3 linked regions of the Struthio camelus genome follow. The protein of the gene in region 2 interacts with the protein of the main gene of each other region in a biochemical or structural test. Links are inferred from orthologs where the notes say so. Each region holds a gene or a part of one and is shown on either strand. Other genes may lie near its edges.

The links. The genes of interacting proteins can lie anywhere in the genome.
Region 1: the proteins of DYRK1A (region 2) and DCAF7 form a complex in vitro, tested with the Homo sapiens proteins (2 studies listed by BioGRID). The link is inferred for Struthio camelus from reciprocal best matches to the Homo sapiens genes DYRK1A and DCAF7.
Region 3: of the proteins of DYRK1A (region 2) and LIN52, one has a biochemical effect on the other in vitro, tested with the Homo sapiens proteins (3 studies listed by BioGRID). The link is inferred for Struthio camelus from reciprocal best matches to the Homo sapiens genes DYRK1A and LIN52.

The regions. Positions count from the first base shown.
Region 1 is NC_090966.1:4,187,956-4,195,791, forward strand, and holds the start of DCAF7 (DDB1- and CUL4-associated factor 7), read left to right. Parts: upstream 1-4,835; 5' UTR 4,836-4,935; coding exon 4,936-5,073; intron 5,074-7,836. Other genes in the region: KCNH6 (potassium voltage-gated channel subfamily H member 6), read left to right, coding at 280-460, 1,116-1,314, 1,697-1,984. UniProt on the Homo sapiens protein: Involved in craniofacial development. Acts upstream of the EDN1 pathway and is required for formation of the upper jaw equivalent, the palatoquadrate. The activity required for EDN1 pathway function differs between the first and second arches.
Region 2 is NC_090942.1:122,405,693-122,412,607, reverse strand, and holds the start of DYRK1A (dual specificity tyrosine-phosphorylation-regulated kinase 1A), read right to left. Parts: upstream 3,006-6,915; 5' UTR 2,986-3,005; intron 2,420-2,985; exon of another isoform or gene 2,247-2,419; intron 1-2,246. UniProt on the Homo sapiens protein: Dual-specificity kinase which possesses both serine/threonine and tyrosine kinase activities. Exhibits a substrate preference for proline at position P+1 and arginine at position P-3.
Region 3 is NC_090946.1:57,307,884-57,314,850, forward strand, and holds the start of LIN52 (protein lin-52 homolog), read left to right. Parts: upstream 1-3,966; 5' UTR 3,967-4,052; coding exon 4,053-4,071; intron 4,072-4,147; coding exon 4,148-4,222; intron 4,223-4,389; coding exon 4,390-4,427; intron 4,428-4,887; coding exon 4,888-4,954; intron 4,955-5,792; coding exon 5,793-5,876; intron 5,877-6,967. Other genes in the region: ALDH6A1 (methylmalonate-semialdehyde/malonate-semialdehyde dehydrogenase [acylating], mitochondrial), read right to left, coding at 927-1,001, 3,179-3,244, 3,576-3,638.

The DNA of each region.
Region 1 (7,836 bases), on a different chromosome or scaffold from region 2:
CTTGTGGCCAAAGGTCCTTACTGCTTTTTACTCCTTGGCAGTGCCTGCTCCATCCCTCCCATGCCCTGGGGTTTCTCATAGCACCCAGAGACCCTGTTGGGACTACCTCTGGGTGCCAGGGTGATGGAGCTCCATGACCACCATAGGTGCCAGGGTGATGGATCCCTACAAGCATGTCAGGTGATGGCATCTGGAGCAGGGCTGCAGACAGCGCACCCATGCCAGCAGGGCCAGGGGATGCTAGAGACAGAAGTGCTGAGATCTCTCCTCCCCTTCCAGCCACCCCCCTGGACGTCCCCAACATGTTCAGCTTCTGGGAAGACCGAGAGCCGAACCATAACCTGGAGCCCCTGCAACACATCTCCTTGGTGCACAGATCCCGGGACATCCCCTTGTCTGACGACTACAGACCGGGACAGATTGAGTCCAGGCTGGAGCTCCTGCAGGCCCAGCTCACCAGGTGGGGCAGGTCCCAGGTGTGGGGTTGAAGGGCACCTAGGGGGTCTCTGGGCCATCACCCTGTCCTGCTCCCCAGGGGTGGCTGCATCAGGCTCTGTTTGCAGCATATGCCACCTCCTGACCCTCTGGGAGATTGCACTCCTTGGGGAAGTGGTAAGAGCGCTTTGCAAATATAGCAGCTGCTTGAACTGCAAGTCTTGGCCTGACTGTGGCCTAGCACCTTATCCATTGCTGTCCCACCACCTCTGGGCACAGCTGCTTTGCTGCTGCCTCCAGTCTTGATGCAATCACAGACATGAAACCACCCAGAGGCTCATGACCTGAGCCCTTTGCAGGGCTCCTCTTCCTGTTGCAAAGAGCTGCAAATCTCCTCTTGCTTGAGCAAACGAGGCCTGTGCAGATCATTGCCCTCTAAACAAGAAAAGGGACACATTTCCGGATGAGAAGGAAGCACCACCCACACCAGAGATGCAGGTTTAAAGGCCCCGGGCAGCACCCACGCTGCTGCCTCTCAGGTCTTGCTCTCCTGCACAGGGGTTTTACCCACATCATCCAAATGCCACTTACCTCCTCGGGGTGTGGAGCAGCCAAATCTGTCTGTTCGGTGCTGCACCAGTGAGATGCACTGTCTTAACGCCGGGTTGCTCTGTCCCCAGGCTGGAGTCCAGGATGTCGTCAGACATTAATATAATCCTCCAGCTCCTGCAGCGCCAGCTGTCCCAAGTGCCACCAGCGTACAGCCCCATCTCGCCGTCCTCCCACAACCTGGCCATGTACGGCATAGTCCCGCGGAGCCTGGAGCCGCTCACCCCCTGCGCACCCCTAGAGGAAGAGGAGCGGACAGCCCCAGGGCAGGTAAGGCCACCACTCCTAGCTCAGCACCAGCGGAGCCTTCTTCCACCTCCAGTAGACAGGTCCACGCAGTGCCAGTGTTTCTCTCCAGCCTTCCTATACACAAAGCGCAGCCAGGCTCAAGGGCCCAAGCAAAGCCCAGGGGTCTTGAAAAAGCAGCACATCTACCTGGAGATGCTTCTGCACAATGCACTGCTGGTTTCAGGGGCATCTCCAGCATGAGCAGGCTGCCCAGTCAATGGGGAGGGGAGTGGGTTCCTCTGCTCTGAGGTCCCCTCAGGGAAAAAAGATATTTTGGGGTTTGGAGCCTCATGGGGTGAGGAGAGACTGGGGCTACATCGTTTTGCTTTTGCCATAACCGACTTGATTCCTCCTTTCCCCCCAGAGCCCGAGCTACACAGAGGTAGATAAGTTCCACTTGAAATCCAGGGAGTCCTTGTCAAGCGGAATACACCTGACTGTGGCATCTGACGAAACCATGACGATCTACTCCGAGCAGGAGCACCATTCCCCAATTCTCCCGCACCCAGAGCCTCCTCACCAAAGGGCACCAAATACCCAGGGACTCTGCCGGGGCTCTCGCTTCCCTTCCCTTCCTGAGCACTTGGAGGCATCTTCAGAGCACCAGGACATTCAGAGACACCTCTCCGACCCTGTGCTTCCTGGAAGTTAGAGCTGTGGCGGCTGCAAAGCGAGTCAAGAGGAACCTCAACTGCGAACTCATTCAGTTGATGTTGACGTTGACTGCCAGGGTAAGATGGAGGACAATGCCTTTGGCTCAGGGGTATAATTTGTAGCTGTCTTCTGCCACCGTGAAAGGAAGCATAGAGTGGCTGGCTTCCAAGATCAACATTTTCCAGTGGATCCCATAGAGTAGATTTCATTTGCACATTATAGCGAACCCAGAACAGTTCTTTCCTGTGGCCATCAACAAGCTGGGTAAGCCAAACAGCACCCACCTCCTCTTCCTTGCCAAGGCTTCCTCCCAAGAATAGTGCAAGCCAAATGAGCCACAGCAACCGGAGGAGGGCAAATCCACAGAGCTTAGCTGCGAGGCCACTTTGCTGTCAGCTCTTTGGAGCAGGGACCATTGTGTTGGCGCTGGGCTTAGCCCAGCAGAGCCTGAAGGCACTGGCTTTACAGAAAGGGTAGTCACCAGAGGAGGAGGAGAACTGCACAGTGCAGTACTGGGGGGAGCTACAGGGGTGAAGCCCAGGACAAGGACAGAGGACAGAAGCCATTCCTGTCCTACCTGACTGCCACTGAGAAACTAAGGGCCGACAACCCCCACCACTCCAGCACGCTTCAGCACGAGTCCTAGGGCACTGACTTCTCCAGCAAGGCTGGTTGCACTTTGCAAACCCCAACATGCGTATCCCACAACTCCCCAGATGAATCCAACTGTTCACTGGCCTGGGCATAAAGCACAAAACTCAAAAGCACAATCCCAGAAAGCCGAAACGCCCCACACATCTCATGTCCAGCCTTTCCTCCTAGCTTTTCTCTTTTGATAAAAGTTTGATAGATGCTTCCTCTTCCCTAGACCTTTCCCAGCAGACTCCTGCAGCATCCCTTATAGGAGAAGCCCACTTAGCACTGCCACCTTGCCGTTCGGTTAGACGCTGTAACAGTCCTAGGCCGCCTGCTCAAGTAATATATTGAGCTCCCTTTGAGAGTAGTAAAACTGTGAGCATCTCTTTCTCCGGAGTTTTAGTGTACACTTTGCTAATAAAGATGTTTTTGGCACCTAATGTGGATTGCAGCGTGTTTGTTGGGAGCATCAGCAAATTCATCCCTGGCAGTAGCTTCAGGGTCCAGGTCCTCGTCTGTAAAGACCCTTGAGAAGATCGTGGTCAAACCCCAGATGCTTCTGCCAGGGACTATGGTGCTAACGGAGCCCATGAGCAGATCTTACAGATCAAGGATGAGGTCTGCTGGGTGTTTGCTGAACAATTTCTTCCCAACAGGATGCAGTTTGGTCTCAGCAGCTCTTTGCAAAAGCTTTTTTACAAGACCAGCCAGCTACTATTCCCCTGCATAGGTGAAACGATCTAGCAAACACACCTCAGGTAGTGATTACGCCAAGAGTCCTTAGAGCAAGCGGGATGTCAGATGACCATACTGATACCAGAACCCGCTCTACATCCCTTGCTAAAGGAGACACAGCTCTGGGTCCTGTCCAAACTCAATGGCTCCATAAGGAGAGCTGAGCCCAGGTTCACCCATAACTGATCCCTTCTGCTCCCAGCTGAGCCCTCCTGCCTTGGAGAGCCGGGGACTTCAGAGGGCGCAGGGCAGGCACAGCACAGGGACCAGAGCGGCTCAGACTGGGGTGCCCTGAGAGGGGGGCTCCGGGGAGCACCAGCACTGGGCTCGCATGCTCCAAAAATGCCAGGAGCACCCTCCTCCTCCAGGCAGGCCCTCGCGAGGCACTGCCAGCCCTCCCCTGCCCTCCAGCCCATCTGGCTCCACACGGCTGAGTGGGGGGCTGCCCTCAGGCCCTGGCTCCACGCCCAGCTCCAGCAAAGCAGCTATTTATACCCGGCGCCAGCTCAGGTTTCCGCTCCCCATGGCGGGGACGCCGCATCCCCGCACCGTGCCGCCTCTCCTGCTCAGCCCAGAGAGCTGGGGAGCCCCAAGGCCCTCAAGGGACCTGCATGAGCACCTCAGGAGCAACTGTACCCGCATCGGGTCCCCGGGGCAGCCGCGACAGAGCCAAATAGCTGCCCGGCCTGGGCTGCCACGGCTCCTCGGCCCGCAGGCCCAGGGGCTCACGCCAGGCGCGCTGGGCCGCAGCCTGTCCCCGTCCAGCCAGGAGCTGCCTGGGAAGCCCGCACAGGCTCCTTCCCCAGGTAAGGCTCAGGGAATTGCTCCAAGGCTGTTAAGTGCTACCAACAATAAAATCCGATAATTAAGCTTCGGTTAATTATAGATAAACGCAACCCTGTCAGGCACTCGGCGGAGGCGGGGCTCGAACCGTTAACCCCAGCGCGCGCCTGAAGTGCTCCACCGCCTCCAACTCACGTGACTGACACCTCTTCCTGCCAATCCGTTATCAGTAAGGTCTCAAGACCCCGCCTCATGCCACTGCGACCCCTAGCAGCCAATGGGATTTCAAGAACGAGTATGGCCTCCGTCTGGGGTGGGATCAAACGCAACGGTAGGTTACCTCACTCAAGGGGGCTAGCGTCCGTTTGGAATGATGGGTAAAACGACCAATAGAAAGCCAAAGAGGGCCAAACGGACGGGAGAATTACCCAATAGCTGCTCGAGAAGCTAAGTGACAGGCCAGGCAGCCAAGCCGTGTGCAAGGGGCGGGGCTCCCCGCGTGGCTTCCGCTCCCGTTGTGTGAGGGACCGAATCCCAAACGGCCTCCGCGCCGCTCTCGCCGTCGCCGGGTTTGGAGCCGGGCCCGGGGGCGCGGTGCCGTGCTGCGGCCTCGCCCCGCTCGCTGCCGCCTCGCCTCGCCCGGCCCGGCCCGGCCCGGCCCGGCCCGGCCCGCGCTGCGCCGCGCCCGCTGCCGCCTCGTCCGGCCCCGCTGCCCTCCGGCGGGCCCCGCGGCCCAGCCCGGGGCTCCCCCGCTTCTCCTCCTCCTCCGGGGCCCGCGGCCACCGCTGCCTCGCCATGTCGCTACACGGGAAGCGGAAGGAGATCTACAAATACGAGGCGCCCTGGACCGTGTACGCCATGAACTGGAGCGTCCGGCCGGACAAGCGGTTCCGCCTGGCGCTGGGCAGCTTCGTGGAGGAGTATAACAACAAGGTGGGCGGCGCCGGGGCAGGAGCGCGGCCCGCTCCCTTCCCCCCCACCCCCGGGACAGCGGGGCCCCCGCACCCGGCACGGCCCCACCGGGGGTACCCTGAGGGGGGGGGCTGCGCGGCGCCGTCAGCCCCTCGGCGGGCTGCAGCAGCGCGGGGGGCCGGGCCGCTCAGGCTGCTGCAGGCCGAGGGGCTGGGGCCGGGGAGAGCAGCGCGGGGGCTGCTCCTCGGCGAGGAAGAGCTCCTAGGTACAGCGTACAGGGCTTCTGCGCAGGGCGCTGCAAAGTTTTACGGCAGGGCTCGAGTTTGTGCTTGTGCGGGCTGCGTAAGGCTTTGCTGGAAGCGTTATGCCCTACTTGTCTTTTAGTGCTGTGGAGGACTTGTGCGCAGTAACTTTCTTTCTTTTTTTTTAATATATAAACTCTTTTTGTTGATCCTTTAGTTCCTTGCCCCCTCTCTGGGGGCAAGAATGTCCTGAGGCATAAGATTATATCCTCACTATTTCCCTGCCAGGTATAAGCAAGGGACCTAACACTGATAGTACAAGCCATGTCATCACCTCTTCAAATACATGCCCAGTCCTTTTCTGGACAGACTCTAGTGTGCTGAACTGATGCAGTGAATGCATACAGTTGGAGGAGAAATAAAGAAACAGCCATACCTATAGAGCGTAATAAACTTGTGTGAAACTGAAGAGTTTGTAAGTACAACTTTGTACGTAGCCTGTGTGTCTTGCAGCTTTGCCAAGCTGTTTAATAGGATTGCGGAAAATGATATTGGAAAAGTTGGTGTTGGGAATGGGGCTTTGTGCAAGGCTGTAATGAGATGAGGTGACCGTACGGCTGGAGTGGACATCTCTTGCAGTAGTTAGCTTACTGCTTTTGCAGTACTCTAAGCAGTGATACTTGTACCGAGCGCTTTGTATCGTAGTCCGATTACTGGCTGAACGTGAGTTGTCTCCTCATGTGTGTGAGTGTTGTTGTGGTTCTGGGGAAAGGCAGGTCACTGGTCTTGAAAACTTTCTATTTGTTTAGAGACTAACTTTAAAATGCTTTGTGTAGCATGTACTGTGAGAACCTAAAATAACAAATGCAAGCAATATTTTGTTTAGAAGTGGTAGAGTTCATTAATAAGCAGGTATAGTTCTGTGCTGTCTGCGGACAGGTAACAGAGTGAAGCTTTATGGTGCAGAAGGGTGATTTATGTGACCTTTAACTCCTTAAGTCTGGACCGTTCCCTGGGGTTGCCCTAGATTAAGACAGGATCTGCTTTTCAGTCCAGACTTTTCAAGTGAAAAGCAGTTGAGTCAACCAGTGGCTTTTCCGCCCTTTACATTCACAGTTGTTGCAGACGGAAATTGTGTAGGACTATGTAAATTACTGCTGTCTGTAAACATTTCCCCTGGATTCTTTTGACCTCTGTGCTTCAGGGATAACTATTATCCTGTTGACTTCAGTCCCTGTAAAGTGCTGTGCACTATATAATTGTATGAGAATGAGATGCCTGTCTGGATGCTGCTGCTATAGAAACAAAGAAGATGCGTGGTTAAAAATTAAGCCTGTACAATAAATCTAGTGTAATATGACCTTCACTTTGCTGAGATGTTTTGCTATGTCTGATGCTACAGAGTGTGTATTTTTTTTTTTTTTTTGCAGTTGTGAAGTGCTTTCAAAGGTGCCCTCCAAATAGGAGGGTCATTGACAGAGAGAGCTGTCTTAGGTAAATGTAAGTGTTGTTATTGCTTAGAGTATTGTTATTGTCTCCTTTACTTGGAAGACCAGAAGGAGCTTGCTTGGGAGTAGTTTTTCAGTTGCACTGTTTTTTTGGTGACTTACTGTGACTTTTGCCACTCCTCTGAATTCTGTGGAGGACACTGAAATATTTAGGAAGGAAATGACTTCGTACTCTGGATTTTGAACTGCTGGACAGATGCTGTCTGGTCATGTCAGGGACGTGCTAGCTGCAGACTCTTTCAGCTCCAGCTTCTGTCTGTTCATGTGAGTGGTACAACCAAAGGAACAACAGGAAAGAACTGAAGTTGTCCTGTTTATGTAGTTGATACCATTGTGCTGCAAAAGATCTAGAGCTTTTGATTTTATATCCGAAGTTCAGGGATAAGCAGCTGTTTAAGACTTTCAAGGAACTTCCATTTCATTTCATCTGACTCAGCAGTCATAATCTTAGGAGGCTTCTTAGAAATGTTGTTTGGAGCTCCTATTCCTGATGTTGCAGTGTTTTGTTTGAGAAAAATTGGCTTCCTTCCTTCCCCTTAATATGTTAAAACATCAGTCTGGAAAAGCAATTCTAGCTTTCTAAAAATCTAACCCAACAGCTGAAAATACCACTTCCTTATTAATCTATTGTTTTATTTTGAAAAGGGGGTGGGGGGGGTTAAAAAGTTCTGACGCACCGAGTGTTCACTGCAGCAGAAGTGCCTGCTGTGGGGTAGTGTAGTAAATGAGAGGACAGATTCTCTAAGTTTCTATTTCTGTAATAATTACCAGAGCTTGAAGTACCCGATGGGTTACAAATATAAAATGGCTGTTTATGCCTCTGTTTTGTGGGGAATTCAAATACATTAACTGCCAAACCCTGATTTATTGCTATCTCCAATTCCCAGACTCTCTTAACACTGTCAACCCTCTCCCCACCACTAACGAGCTGTGTAGTATACCAGAAAGCTAGTTACCAACAAATGTGTGAACCCCAAGGGAGTTTTGTTTCAGCTCGTATACCTTTGCTGATGAAATCACTGGCATGTGAAGAG
Region 2 (6,915 bases):
CCGTGTGAACTTAACATGGGTGCGATAAGTCATTTATGAGCATCATATGTAAATTCCCACTCTCAACAAAACCCATATACTTTAAAAACTGATAAATTCCTGATTACTACATCATTATTTTACACAAGTAATAGAACACTACTCATAAACTGTCGTTGAAAATTCTTGGCTGCTATTTGGTAAAATTATCCTTGCTGCTGCTTCTCTGCAACTGTCCAACATGGGAGGAGGGGGGTTCCAATGACAAGTCCAAAATCTTCCTAAGTATTGAGTCAGTAACTTCAACATTGTTACTGATGTAAAAAACTTTCTATTAGCCTCGAAACAATTATAATGGGTGCACAATAATTTAAGAGTGTGAATTGTCCTCTTTCTTGATTTAAGACTATGTTCTGTATTCAATTTTGAACAAGACAGACTTCTTACTTTATTCAAAGAATATTCAAAATCAATGAATTAAACCTGTTAAGTCTTGGAGACTTTGCCGGAATTTTTAATTCACAGAAGAAAATGTAAATTTAACACAACACGCTCTACTTCAGACTGTAAATAAAAAAGTTGTAATTCTAAATAGTTCATATGAGCCAAAAACATTAAGCATATCCTACAAAAGTAGTCTCTCTCTGTATATATCTATATACCCCCCCCCCCCAAAGTTCACTAAACATATCTGGCTAATAGTTAACAGAAAAATACCAGCTCATATTCAAAATTAATTTCAGTGTTATTATTTTAAATGTATTAAGTAAAATTTTCCAAAAATATCTAATCTACAGATGTCAGGGTAAAGGGCAAGAAAAGGAGAAACAAGTTTTTCCAAAACTTCTTACGCCTACAGACTATTCCATTGACAGAAGTCAAATTATACACAGTTACAGGCAGATAACTGAATGCTACTACAAACAAAATGTTTGCCTATTTGTCGCCAGACATCATTGATGTATTCTTCAGTTTTACACTCCTTTTCTTAGGGAAAGGACACTGAAATACTAATAAAATAATAAAAAATTAAATTCTACCTATCTAGATCTCTGGGATATTATATTCATGTAAAAGTGACTGCATGTGCCTACTGGCAAAAGTTAACAGGACACACTCTTCATGATTAAAATGGTAGATTGTCAAAAACATGCTTGTTGATTTATTTTGTAGTCAGATACTCTCTGTTAATTTTAAAGAAAAATGAATGTTTATTTCCCCCAATAACTGTGGAGTAATAGGAGAACCAAGTAACAGCAGCAATCTAGACACATGATCAAAGAACCCCTGCATAGTCTTTGGACAGGCTAAACTGAAAACTTCAAAGCTGATTGAGATTCAAAAACGCACCCATTTCAAAATTCCTAATTGTAGTTCTTTTAATTGTGTATTCCGATTCTGGGGGGGGGGGGGGGGGGCAGGAGGAAATGCCACTTCACAGAGAGCACACTCTATGTTTCAGATGCAGTCTCTAATTTCCTCAGCAACACAAAGCTGAATTCCTACAAGACTGCAGGCAACCACTAAAATACAGAAGCACCTGTATGCCCGTGTGCATATGCCCAATGCTTCTCTCCCCTCTTCCCCACCCCACCCCACCCCCAGCCCAGATGACAGTAATCATACACAGGTACTCCTTCTTCATCGGCCTCCAAGTTCCCCACCTACCACGCGAGTCTCTTGCAGGGGTGCAGGCAGGGGCACCTAAAGCCTCCACCACAACAGGTGCCTGCTCAGCTGATTGTTCAACTCCTGACACCCTCCTCGCCCCCTCTCCCTGCTCCCAGACCGGGGCGAGACCTCGCACCCGCCCACCGCAGGGCGTTGCGCATAAGAGCGAGAGAAGCCAGGCAAACTCCCTTCCTCCATCTCCGGTCCCGCAACCCTCCTCGCCGCTCCGCTTCCCAATCCGGCAGCGACAGCCTCCCCTACACGCCGAGGGGAAAAAGGGCCGCAGAGGCGGCCGCCGCCTCCGAGCCGCGCAGAGGCCGCCAGCACTGCCCCCGGCCATTCCCGGCCCTCCCCAGAAGGGGGCAGCGGTAGGGAAGGCGGCGGGAAGGCCGGGTCCAAAGCCCGGTGCGGGTCCGGGCCCTGCCAGCTCCGGCCGGGGGCTCGGCGGGCCCCTGCGCTCTCCCCACCTCCTCTCTCTAAGATGGCAGCGGAGCTGCCCCCTGCGCTGCGCCCCCCTCGACCGCGCCGGGCCGGGAGGTGGCACCAGCTCGTCCCGCTGCGCAGCTCCCCGCCACCGGCTGAGGCGTCTCACTTACCCGTGGGGGGGGGGCGGCGGACCCCTGGCTGCCGCCCGGCTCCGGCCTCCTCTCCCGGGCGGCGGGCACACGCAGAGCGAGGAGCGAGCGCTTCCCCCGGCCTCGGCCAGGGGCCCCGGCACGGCAGCGCCTCCCTCTTGTGCGCTCCGCAGTCCGGCCGCCCCGCCGCGCTCGGGCCCGCGCGGCTGGCGGCGGTGCCGGTGCCGCTCGGAGTGCGGGGGGGGCGGGGGGGGGGCAGCAGCGGCCGCGGGGGCTGCCCGCAGCGCGCCTTCCTCTCCGGGCGGCGGACAGCGAGGGAGAGGGGGCCCGGCCCGGCCCGGCGGGCGGATCCGCGACGCTTCCTGGCCGGGTTGGATTTTCTATCGCTCACAAAATGGCGCGCGTTCCAAACCTGCGCAGCGCCCGGCGGCGGCGGCGGCAACGGCAGGGCCCGGCCTCGGCTCGGCGGCGGCGGCGGCGGCCTGAGCCCCGGCCAGGCAGCGCGGGGACAGCGGCGGGCGGGCGCGAGCGGGCGGGGGGAGGAGGAGGAGGAGGAGGAGGAGGGGATGATGGGGGGGGGAAGCGCAGCGCCGTACCGAGCCCCCGGGAACTCCTCGCTCCCTCCCTCCCTCTCTCCTTCCCTCCCCCGCCTGCCAGCCTCTACCTCCTCCCCCTCCCTCCCTCCCCGCCCGCTCCTCCTTCTTCCCCCCTCCCTCCAGAACCGGCTTCGCCAGGGCTTTGCGCCGGCCCCGCACCGCACCGCTGCCGCCGCTTCGAGCCTCTCCTCGCTCGCGTGGGGCGAACTTCTCGCCTGCCGCCGCCGGGCCCTCCAAGACAGTTTTTTGGGTTGTTGTTTTTTTCTTTTTTTTTGGGGGGGGGGGAGGGAATTCCGTTTTCTTGCTTGATAATTTTTTTTTTCGAAGTGGAGGTAGGAAGGGGAAAAAAAAAAAAACCTTCCACAATTCGGGCGGGAAGGGTGGGATTTTTTTTTGAAAAAAAAAAAAAAAAGCTAACTGACAAAATGGCGACGAGGGCGAGCCTGTTACTATGGCAACTGTCAATCACGCTACCCCTGCGCCCCACCCGGGCCGGGCGGGAGACAGCCGCTGACGTGGGGAGGGTGGGGAAGAGAGCGACGGGTAAAAGGCGGGGCTTGGTCGCCGGGGCAACTGCCGCCTCCCCTCGTCCCCCCCCCCCCCCCGCGCCTCTCCGGCATGTGACGATATCCGCGCCGCTGCGGGCCGGGATGGCCCCGGCGCTCTGGGGCCCCAGGCGGTGGGGGAGGGGCAGCGGCCGCTCCTTTCGCGCCGCGAGGCCGGTAACGGTAACGGCCGCTGCCTCGCGCTGAGCCGCGCGCTTCTCCGCCCGAGCCGCTTCCACGCCGCGGGTGCGGCGGGGCTTTCCCCGGCCTGCAGGTGGCGGGGCCCGCCCGGCTGCGGAGGGGCTAAACCCGGCGGCGGGCCGGGCGGCTCTGGAGGGAGCCTGGCCGCCCCCCCGCAGGGACGGGGGCCGCCCGGGGCGTTGTGGCCGCGGGTGTCCTTGCTCGGAGCTGGGAGAGGGCTGTCATGGGGGCTTGGTGGGCGCAGGGTTCCTCTCCATCTCGCACTGAAAGATGTATTTAAATATAGATATATTCATTTTTTTTAATAAATATTTTAAAAAGGTGTTGCTTCGTGTGGCACTCACGCTGTGGGTATGTGGTGGGGAAGGGAGCCTTGGGTTCTTGAGGGAAGACTTAATTCCACTTTTTATTACGGACCGGAATTAGGAACGTATACTACTAATGTAAATCTACGCTAGGGATTTTTTTTTGTTTTTCCCCCAGGAGCATCCATGAAGATCCAAAAAGTAAAATGTGGCCTTCATCTAGTATTTTAATTCTGACACCTGATTTTTTTTTTTAACCTTGTTGTTTTAGTTCACAGTCAGCCTTGCCCCTTGAAGAAATTAGGACATACTACTAACACTTGTGCCATTACTTTTTCTTCTTCTGTTTCCTTATTTCTTTCTGAATTTCAGAGCTAAAGGTAGGTGCAGTAACAGCCAAAGTAGTATGTCCCCAATTATCTAACCATAGCTGTACAAATGCAGTTTTACAAGCAGTTCAACTGAGCTAAGAATTTGTTGCTGTTGAAAATAGCAGTCCACCCTCTCCACCTCTAGCTATTTAGTCCCTCTGTGTCTTTTCTACAGCAACAGGAGTGCTAGCATAGAGTAATTGACACACCGACCCTGACAAAACAGAAAACAGGAAAACCTCTTTTGTACGGCTAGGATAGGGCAGGAACACACGGCAGAGGGAAGCCTGGGACCAGCCCATTGAGTAACAGCATGGGGTTAGGTTAAGTTAAGTCATCCATGAAATTGCACCTTAAAGCCATGGTAGGTGTTCAGGAGCAGCATGGTTTAAGTGGGTTTAAGCAGTCATTTCTCATTCCCCTCACTCCTGGAAAGACTGAGAGGTCACTTTAAGCTACACGTCTTTCTTCCCTAGAATATGATCAGAATGCAATTCTTACCCCAGGATGAGGAAAGCCAACATGCATATTCTGCAGTGTAACAAAGGCATACAGATTCACCTGCTTCTGCTCAAAAGACTCCCATGTTAATATTGTCATATTTTGTCCTAAGATATCTGCGTGCATGGTATATTGCACAAGAAATCAAAAATACCTAGAAAGCATTAGTTGTCTTGCGTAAGCTCAGTCCAATTGACCTCTAAGGAAGGGCAGCTCATACGCTGGTGACAGTGAGGTCTGTCCCCATCAGGATGTTGTAAATCTTGCTAAAATCTCCTTGCTACTCTGGATGGTGACATGGAGCAGCAGAAAAATGCAATGGAAGATTAGCTCTGTTGTTCAGTGTGGGTAGCTACAAAGCTCATACAAACATACTGTGGCATTTACTATATTACATTATGTTATACAGCATGTAACAACTTATAATTTTTTTGGCTAATGCTTAAACAGATTACGGAATTCTCATGCATTTGTGCACTTGCTCTGTAATCCTCTGCTTTTATTTTGTTGGCTATAGCCAAGCTTGCAGAGATGGGTATATGGCAACTGGAGCTGAGAACACACAGAGCGTGTAGGAAAAAGTTGAAGTGTCCTATTGGACATAAGGGGATGGCCTTTTTTTTTTTTGTTTTTGCCCAGCATATAACAACTACATAGTCTTGTTTTGTTGTTATAATCTTGATAATCAATAACCTACACTATTCTTCTCTTGTACAATAGTCTTCTCTTAAATGTCCATTACATTAAAAGCACATATACATACACACACAAACTGTCTACAAAATTTTTTGTTCAGTAACTCAACAGCTCAAAAGCATTGAAGCTGTTAATGGTTAAAATTAAGGAACAAGGCCCCCATGAACTAGAATTCTACCAGAATCCTGCTCCAGCCACAGATCTAGGGTGAGAGCTGGCATCAGGATGGAGTTGTCTGCCCATATGTATTGGGAGTAGGTCTTGTGTCTTCTACTGCAGGTAAGTTGTCTAGGGTTAGAGATCTTAGGGCCTTCCAGGCTGGGATTATACCAAAATCCTGCCCACCTGGAAAGCTAGCACATAGGCTGGTAGTAGGACAGAGCTTTATCTCATCACTAGTAGCTAGAAGTCCTCTTCTGTGCTGCAGGTAGAGAAAAGGTTGGGTCTAGCGTTTGGGAAGTGACGGTCTTCCAAGCAGAGACTCTCAGCTTGCAAGCAGTTAAGTTTTCTTCTGTTTTTAAAACCAGATCAGCTCCCTGATCTGTTATGTAACATATCCCACAAATGGTTGTTGTGGAATAACTGAAACATTGGTACTCCACAGACAGACATGAGGGGGAATAAGGGATAGAAGATGAGGGTATACATTAGCTGAGTTTGCTGGTGAACTCCATGCAATAGGCCAAAAGTAAACACAGACAGCAAGAGACCTAGAGCTCCTAAGAGATCAGCTTTGGAAAGAAGTAGTTGAAATAGAATATGTAAGAGAGAGACTGATCCAGAAGAAGGGGATCCAAACACTTGCTAACTTCTGCTTCGTTCCACATAATGAGGAGTTACTACATCTTACAATTTTTTCTTTAGGAAAAAAGGAAAGAGAGAGGAAAAGACTGAGAGAGGAAAGACTGATAATCCTTTTCTTCCCAGTTCTGCAATATTTTTTACTCTCCGTCAAAAACCTAAGGATGGTTTAGACAGCGTTTCAGTGTCACACTTTAAAACAGGATTTTGCATCTTTATAATCAAGTAGACTTCCTCCTAAGAAATACTTGGTTTTCTCTGCCCAACAGACACTCTGACCTTAGAACACACAGTATATTTTGGGTCGAAAAAGTAACAATAAGCAGAAAACTTGAGGACAAAATAAGAAAAAATAGTACCTAAAAAGAAAAATGAGGAGGAAAGAGTACAGTGTGGAGAAATAAGATCTGAGAGAAATAAAATTGAAAGAGGAGAAAAAATATACGACAGATTAGAAAAACAGAACAAATGCAGAAGAAACAACAAAACAGTACAAGGTTCTCTAAGTTCAATAAGTGCAAAGTGAAGCAATATAGAACATTCAAAGCATTGTACTATCCTAATCAGAAATTTAAAGTCAACCTTCCTTGACTATCTCTCTTTCTGCCTGTCTTTCAGTATGATTACACTGAAAAATATAATCCTTCCTGTTTTCCTCTATTTTTAGTCTTCAT
Region 3 (6,967 bases), on a different chromosome or scaffold from region 2:
TCACTAGGCAGAAGTGAGATTTTTATGATCAGCTTTAGTTCTATAATATTTTAACTTTTAAATCCTGTCTTTACCAGTTTAACCTCCTTCTAGTGCACTCTTAAAAATGAAATCTGCTTTGACATGACAAAATATCAGGTACGTCACTAAGAGAGAAACTACAAGTACAACAGGAACGAAAGGAAACAAGAACGATGGCTGCTCCACAGCCAATGGAGACTCCACAGAGACCAAATGAGCTTCATGAAAATAAGGCTTTACAGAGAAAAGCTTCAGAAACTGCTGTCCAAAGGCTTACTGCAAGGTCAGAACCTTGAACACAGTCCCATTTCCATTTGTCCTTGGTGTAGAACTGAGATGGGTGCAAGTGCTACTAATCTAAGTTAAGTTTTGCATTGCATAGCATCAAGTGTCTAAATTCACTGTGAATATTGTGGCTCACAGATAGAAGCTCTCTCAAAGGAGAGAGGAGGAGCTTCAGCTGTCAGGATGTTCCCCTTGGTCTGAGAGTGAAATCAATCTCTATAAGGACTTTTACATTTAGCTGACATCAAATCACACGAGGTTGCATACATACAGGGTGAAAGAAATCCTTCCGAAATTTGCAATACTCTTCTCAAAGCCTTTCCATGAGCAAAAGAAAGGTAAGTAGTGTTTAAACTTCCTCTTTGGATATTTGGATAAAATGGCTTTGGGTTTTACTACACAAGGGAGAGAAAGGAGGTCATCACTTTCCTAAGACTGACATTTCATATGAAGATGCAACTGAGAAGCAATTGCACAGTTCTAAATCTGTCTTATTCTCCAAGTCTAAGACTTTCTCAAGAAATATAGGTACTTTTCCCTCCCACCAGATGACTCAATGGAGGCACAGACCCTTGCTGCACAGTGACTGCTGATAGATACGCAGAGGCCATTTCACTTACTGGGTTGTGGATATCGATCCATTCAGTAGTTTTGGACTCAACAAACTTCCCATCAATGAACAGTTTGGTTGTTGGCTGTGGAAGACAAACACGGGACAATGAGTGATCTTTGCCTCAAGGTGCCTACACACTAACGTGCCTTATTACAGGCAGGCCTTCACCACTCACTGCTATGCTGCCTGTTAGAGGGCAAAGTCCCAATACTTTACAGTTATGTCCAGCTAATTCTTCAGGCTGAATTTTTTCATGCTGTCCACCCTTTCCCCCCCCCCCCGCCTTTTTTAATGGAATTGGCCATAATTCTTTCTAAAAGCAGTTCAAGAAAAAATACATTGTTATGCTTATATTCAGAAGTATTTCAGTCTACTCAATCACCCAAAGTTTACCAAGTTAGAAGACTGAAAAATTGCAATTCATAAATATTCAGAAAAAATGGTGAATATTTCCACCTCGTGAGAATTCCATGTACCCAGTGCAGACTGTACTACACACTTCATTCCCATCAAGCCACTAAGTCAGTCACCTCCCCAGCTCATAGCTGCAGGCATAAAACTGAATGGTCCTTTGGCCTTGGAACTAAAAGCAAGGAAACTACATCCACCGAAGTCACAGCGATTGTCCTGGCAGGCAGCATGGGGGACAGAACTCTGCAATTCAGGCGCAGAACAGAGAAAAGCAAAGTTTGGAATAAAAGTTCAGCTAAATTTAGGGCAGGAGGAAAAGCAGGGATAGAAGCTGTAATTATCACTGGATAGGCAACAAGACTGTAGCAAGCAGGAAACCAGAATGGGACTGCATAAATGAAGAAACTGGATACTAAGAGTACAGAGTTGATACTGGGAGGTAAGGAGAGAACCAGGAGAAAGCGGGAACCAGTTAATCATGCAGAGAACAGCGAGGAAGGATAAAGAACTGCAGGGAGACGAGGTCAGAAAGCAGTGGCGTGGGGAGAACAGATAAGATAAAGGGGAAACAGACCTGCAGTATGAAGAACAGAAATGGGACATGCCTGACAAAAAGATTAGAATATAAAAAAAAAATATCAGGGAGCTGTGTGAAGGAAAGAAATTAGGCCATAGAATTATGAGAGAGATGAGGATTGCAATGCCTTCCAAGGCATAATGAAGGGACAGAGATGAGAGGAAGAATCAGGAAAAGAAATGGGATTGGCTGGACAAGCAGTAAGAGTCAAAAGCGGATGAGAGTAGAAAAAAAAAAAAAAGCCCACGTAGCACATATCTGCAGTGGACATATAGGCTCCAAAGCTACATGACCCATGTGGGCTTCGGTACAATGGAACTTACCTTTTTTAAGCAATTTGAAAAAACATATTTAGGGAATTCCTCATGCAAGGAAAAATTACACTCTACAGTTTAGGAAATGCTAGAATCAATATTGACTGTACTTGTTCCATAAGATGCCCCTGCTCTTCTTCTCTAGAGAATGAGCCTGTTCTGGGAACAATGACTGTGGAAAAGCAGACTTTTTGGACAATCATGATTTATCTGTTCCAAACTTGGAAACTGTACAGTTGTGGATAGCAGATGAGAAAAGATACTATACTAGCTAAAGCAGTTAAATACTGCCCTAAGAGAAGCAGATTCTGTCTCTGCCATAGATGGACTACGTGAGGCCAGTCATACAACTTAACATAACCTTTTTTTCACACAGGATCATTAATCACATATTCTTTATTTTTTGCTGCTCTAACTAACTGAAGATATATCACACACAGCAAAGGAAGTCTAAAAATCAGAAAAAAACCTGGCTACTTAGTAAACTGTGTGCTATTTAATAAACACGGAGAAAACAAAACACCAAGCAGTGGTCAACCGAACTAGCATATCGTCCTTAGGTACACGCGCAGGAGTCGATAGAAAAAGTAACGTGGGATAACTGCACTAACGGCTAGAGCACAGCTCAAGGAGGGAGCGTTCAGTCAGAGCTGGTACTCCTTCACTCTGGAGTCAAACACATCTGACGTCTAACTAGTGTTTTTCTTTCCTTTCCTCCTATTGACCAAAGGGGCCCTCCGTGCCCTGTTCCCTGCGAGTCGCCAGTGTTTGCTCCAGAGATGCCAGGCAGGAGTCACGGGGAGGCGAACCGACAGAAACGACCTCAAAAGAGCAGACTGGAATAAAGTCTCTGGCTGTGTCAGGAGCAAAGCCAGAGAGGCTCCTCGGGGCTGGGGCCGGGGCGGGCTCCCCCGCCGCCCCCCGCCCGCTGGCTCTGACCCGCGGCGCCGGACTCACCACCGAGGAGGAGGAGGAGGAGGCGGCGGCTGAGGCGATCCAAGGGGCACCGGCTCTCCGCGGCAGCTGGACGGGACGGAAACACACACAAACGCGGTTCCGGGCAGCGCTCCCGACGGCGGGTCAGCGCCCCCGGCCCGGCCCGCCCCCACCCCGGGCCAGGCAGCCGCCGACCCAGCGGCGCCGCCACCGCGCTGCCCGCCCTTCCTGGGCCGCACCGGCTGCTCCCCCCGCCGCCGCAGCCCCTCGCCGCCGCCCCCCGCGCGGGGCTCCCGAGCCAGGCGGGCCGCGCCCCCCTGCGCCGCCCGGGCCGAACCGAGCCGCGGCGCGCCGCCACGGCGGGGGGAGGGTGGGGAGAGGAGCGGGGGGGTAACGGCTGCCGCTGCCGCCGCCTCACCCTGAGCGCCGCGCGCCGCCCGCCCCAGGCGCCGCGCGCCGCCGCCGCCGCCGCCGCCGCCATCCCGGGCCAGAGTGCTGCGCCGCGCCCCCCGACGGCACCCCTCGCCCCGACCCGCCGCGGCCCGAAGCACCGCCCCCGCGCTCTCATTGGCCGCTTGGGCGCCGGCCTCGCCCACTCCCCGCCCCCTCCTGGACCGCCCTCGCGGCTCTCGGCCAATCGCCGTCGGAGAGCCCCCTCGCCGCGCCCCCCGGCCCCACCGCCCACCGTTGCGGGGTGCCCATTGGCCGCCCGCCCCAAGACGCCCACTGGCCGTCGCAGCTCGGATTGGCCGAGCGTCGGCGGGCGGCCACGCCTCCTGGTGGCGGCGGCCACAGCGACACGTGAGGTTTCGGGGCTGGGCCTCGGGGGCGGGGGTTGCGGGTCACGTGGGCGGATCCCGCGGGCCGTGGCGGCGGGTCACGTGACACGGGCAAGATGGCGGCTCCCGGGGACGGTGAGGCGGGAGGGGGTGGTCGGGGTGCCGCTCCTCGCTGGTGGGTTGTGTGGAGGCTCATCCCTGTCTGTTGCAGGCGCGGACCTGGAGGCCTCGCTGCTGAGCTTCGAGAAGCTGGACCGAGCCTCCCCGGACCTGTGGCCCGAGCAGCGTAAGTCCCGCCCCGAGCCCGGTGGCCCTCGTTGGCCTCAGCGCCTCGGGGGGCCTGGTGGGGCCCCTCCGTCTCGGCAGGCGGTAGCGGCCTTGCCCATGGGCAGGAGGCCGTAGTGCTCTGTAGCCGCAACCGCTCACCTGGTGTTTTCTTTTCTTTTTTTTCAGTACCAGGTGTTGCTGAATTTGCTGCCTCCTTCAAAAGTGTAAGCAACGTTTAGTTTGCACCTCGTGTTTTCCCGTTTCCTGCCTGTTGATAGATCTGCTTTTTCCTGTTGTGAGCTTCGTGACCTTTTTCTCTAAAATATTTCTTAACTGTAACTTCAGAATGTTTCAGTATAAGCCTTTGCTTCTCTTCTTATACCTTGTTGTGAATGTAGTGTGTTGGTTCTTGGAAGAAATAAAAGATTTTTAGAAAAACTGTAGAAAATGCTGTTCTTTATGCTGTTTTCAGCTTTTGAGTGGTATGTACTGGTGTTACTTTCAAAAATTATAGAAAAAGTTAGAAAGTTAGGTTAAGTGTAGGAAAATCTCTACAGAGCACCTATTATCCTTTTATTTTTACTGTCAGTGTGAGTATTTTCTAGAATCCTAGACCACATTTTGTTTGTATGCTGCTATAAATACACTTTTCTGAGCTATGTTTTTTTTTTTCCCCTCAAACAGCCTATTACTAGTTCTCCTCCCAAATGGATGGCTGAATTAGAAAATGATGATATTGATATGTTAAAGGGTGAGTATGGGCAGTGCCTTTGAGTAGCAGGTAAGATTACTAAAGCAGATGGGTGGGGGTTTTTTTTGTTTCCTTTTTAAGGGGAGAGAAGGGACAGGTGGAGGAACAGCTAAGTAGACGATATTTTCTTAAAATGTGGTGTAGAGCAAGCTATGTCACATGAATCCACTAATATTTTTCAATGACATGGAGCACTACCAACTGCAGTGTAACTAAAGGGTTAAGGCAATAGATTCTACCTACTTGGGGTGACTATGTGAATACCACTGCTTGGCTGTGGTTCAGTAGTGCCTAGTGTACTGAGTTGTGAAGGAATGAACACAGCAGGATCGATGCTCAAAAGCTGTCCATGCTAATGATCTGGAAGAATTAGTTTACTCAAAGAATTCAACCGCTTAGAAATAGCGTAAGACAAGATCATGAAGAACTCTATGGCAATAACAAAGAAGAAAAATAGCAGAATACGCTTCCTGGGGTGATGCCTTAGGCAATGATAATGGTACCTGTTTGCATGAAACTAGACAGGCTCGCTTAAATATGTAGTGCGAATAAGCTTCTGCTAGAGAGCTTACAAAGGTGAAGATATTTTTCTCACTATCGGTGATTTTTTGAACCATTGGATCCTAGCATTTCTGGCAAGCAAAACGACTTTGAGGTTGTTATAAGTCTTTCGTGCTTCTGAGATTTGAAATGTGAGAGTTAAAGAATGTATTTTGTTCAGTGGAAACGGGTATTGTCAAAAGTTGGACTTGAAGGTGCTCTGTGAAGTAGTAAGCCCAGGTACATTGCCACTAGAGGGCTATACGCTGTTAAAAATCATGCTTTTCTGTGTTTTTAGAGTTGGGGAGCCTCACTACTGCTAACCTGATGGAGAAGGTTCGAGGCCTGCAGAACCTGGCTTATCAGCTGGGACTGGATGAATGTAAGTGCTGTAGGCAGATGTGGCTGACTGCATTGCAAATATGTACTCATCCTATATCTATAGCTGGAAAATGTATCGGCAGCCCTGGCAAGCATCTCACAGTAATAATGGTGCAGTAGGAAGTCCTCCCAAGAGAAAGAGTGCTGAATGATACTCTCTTAGCAGCTGCCCAAAGCAAATCTGTCAGGTGCACAGTGTGACTTAATGGGTCACATTTAGAATTTTGTAACTTTCAGTTTCATTTCTAATGTTGAGTTAAGACCTATTTGTGTGATAGATAAACAAGGTGGTAATTTGTGTATGTGATCTTCCAAAATGGGGAGAGAGAACTTACAGCCTCTACGACAAGAGGTCATGGTTATGCCATCTGATGTTGTGTAGTGGCCCATAGACTTCTGTTCCTGATTTATATTGGTTTAGATAAATTGTCATGCTTTGTTTAATTCCCACTTGGATATTAAAAATATTTTCAGGTTATTTATGCCAATATTTCTGTGAAACTTAAGTGTACTATCTCCACAGTGGAACTTTCACTTGTGTGTAGGATTCTGCTACCAGTTAGTGTTTATAGTTAATTTCCAGCGTCTGTAATTGGTGGTTTTTTTCTACTGTTGGCTGTGAATAGAGCTCATGTCATCCAGTACTAAAGTTGAACTGCATCCCGCTGACTAGCAGCCAATTTTTGTCAAACTTTTGAAGAAGGAATTGCCTTCATCAACACGTTCAAGGCTCTTGTTATCAGGCTGATTTAAGGGGACTGAGGTTCCTTTAAACCCTGTCTGTAGGGTACCTATTTACTTATTTAATATTTTCTGCTTGGTTTTGCTTTAGCTTAGGCTCTACTTGAGTTACTCTGGGGTAAGCACAAAGCTTTGAAAGTTTTAAAACTGTCATTGAGACTAGGAAAAACCCTTCATGTTCCTTGTTAGCTTTATATGGTGATATAAGTAACGTGGTGTGAAGCCTTTCACTTCTTTTTCAGTGGACAGCAAAAAGCAGTAGTACTATCTTTAGAATCTTACTGACTCTAAGTATAGGATACTCTAATGCTTTCTTCCCAGATAGGTTGTTAAGCATGTTTTAACACACCC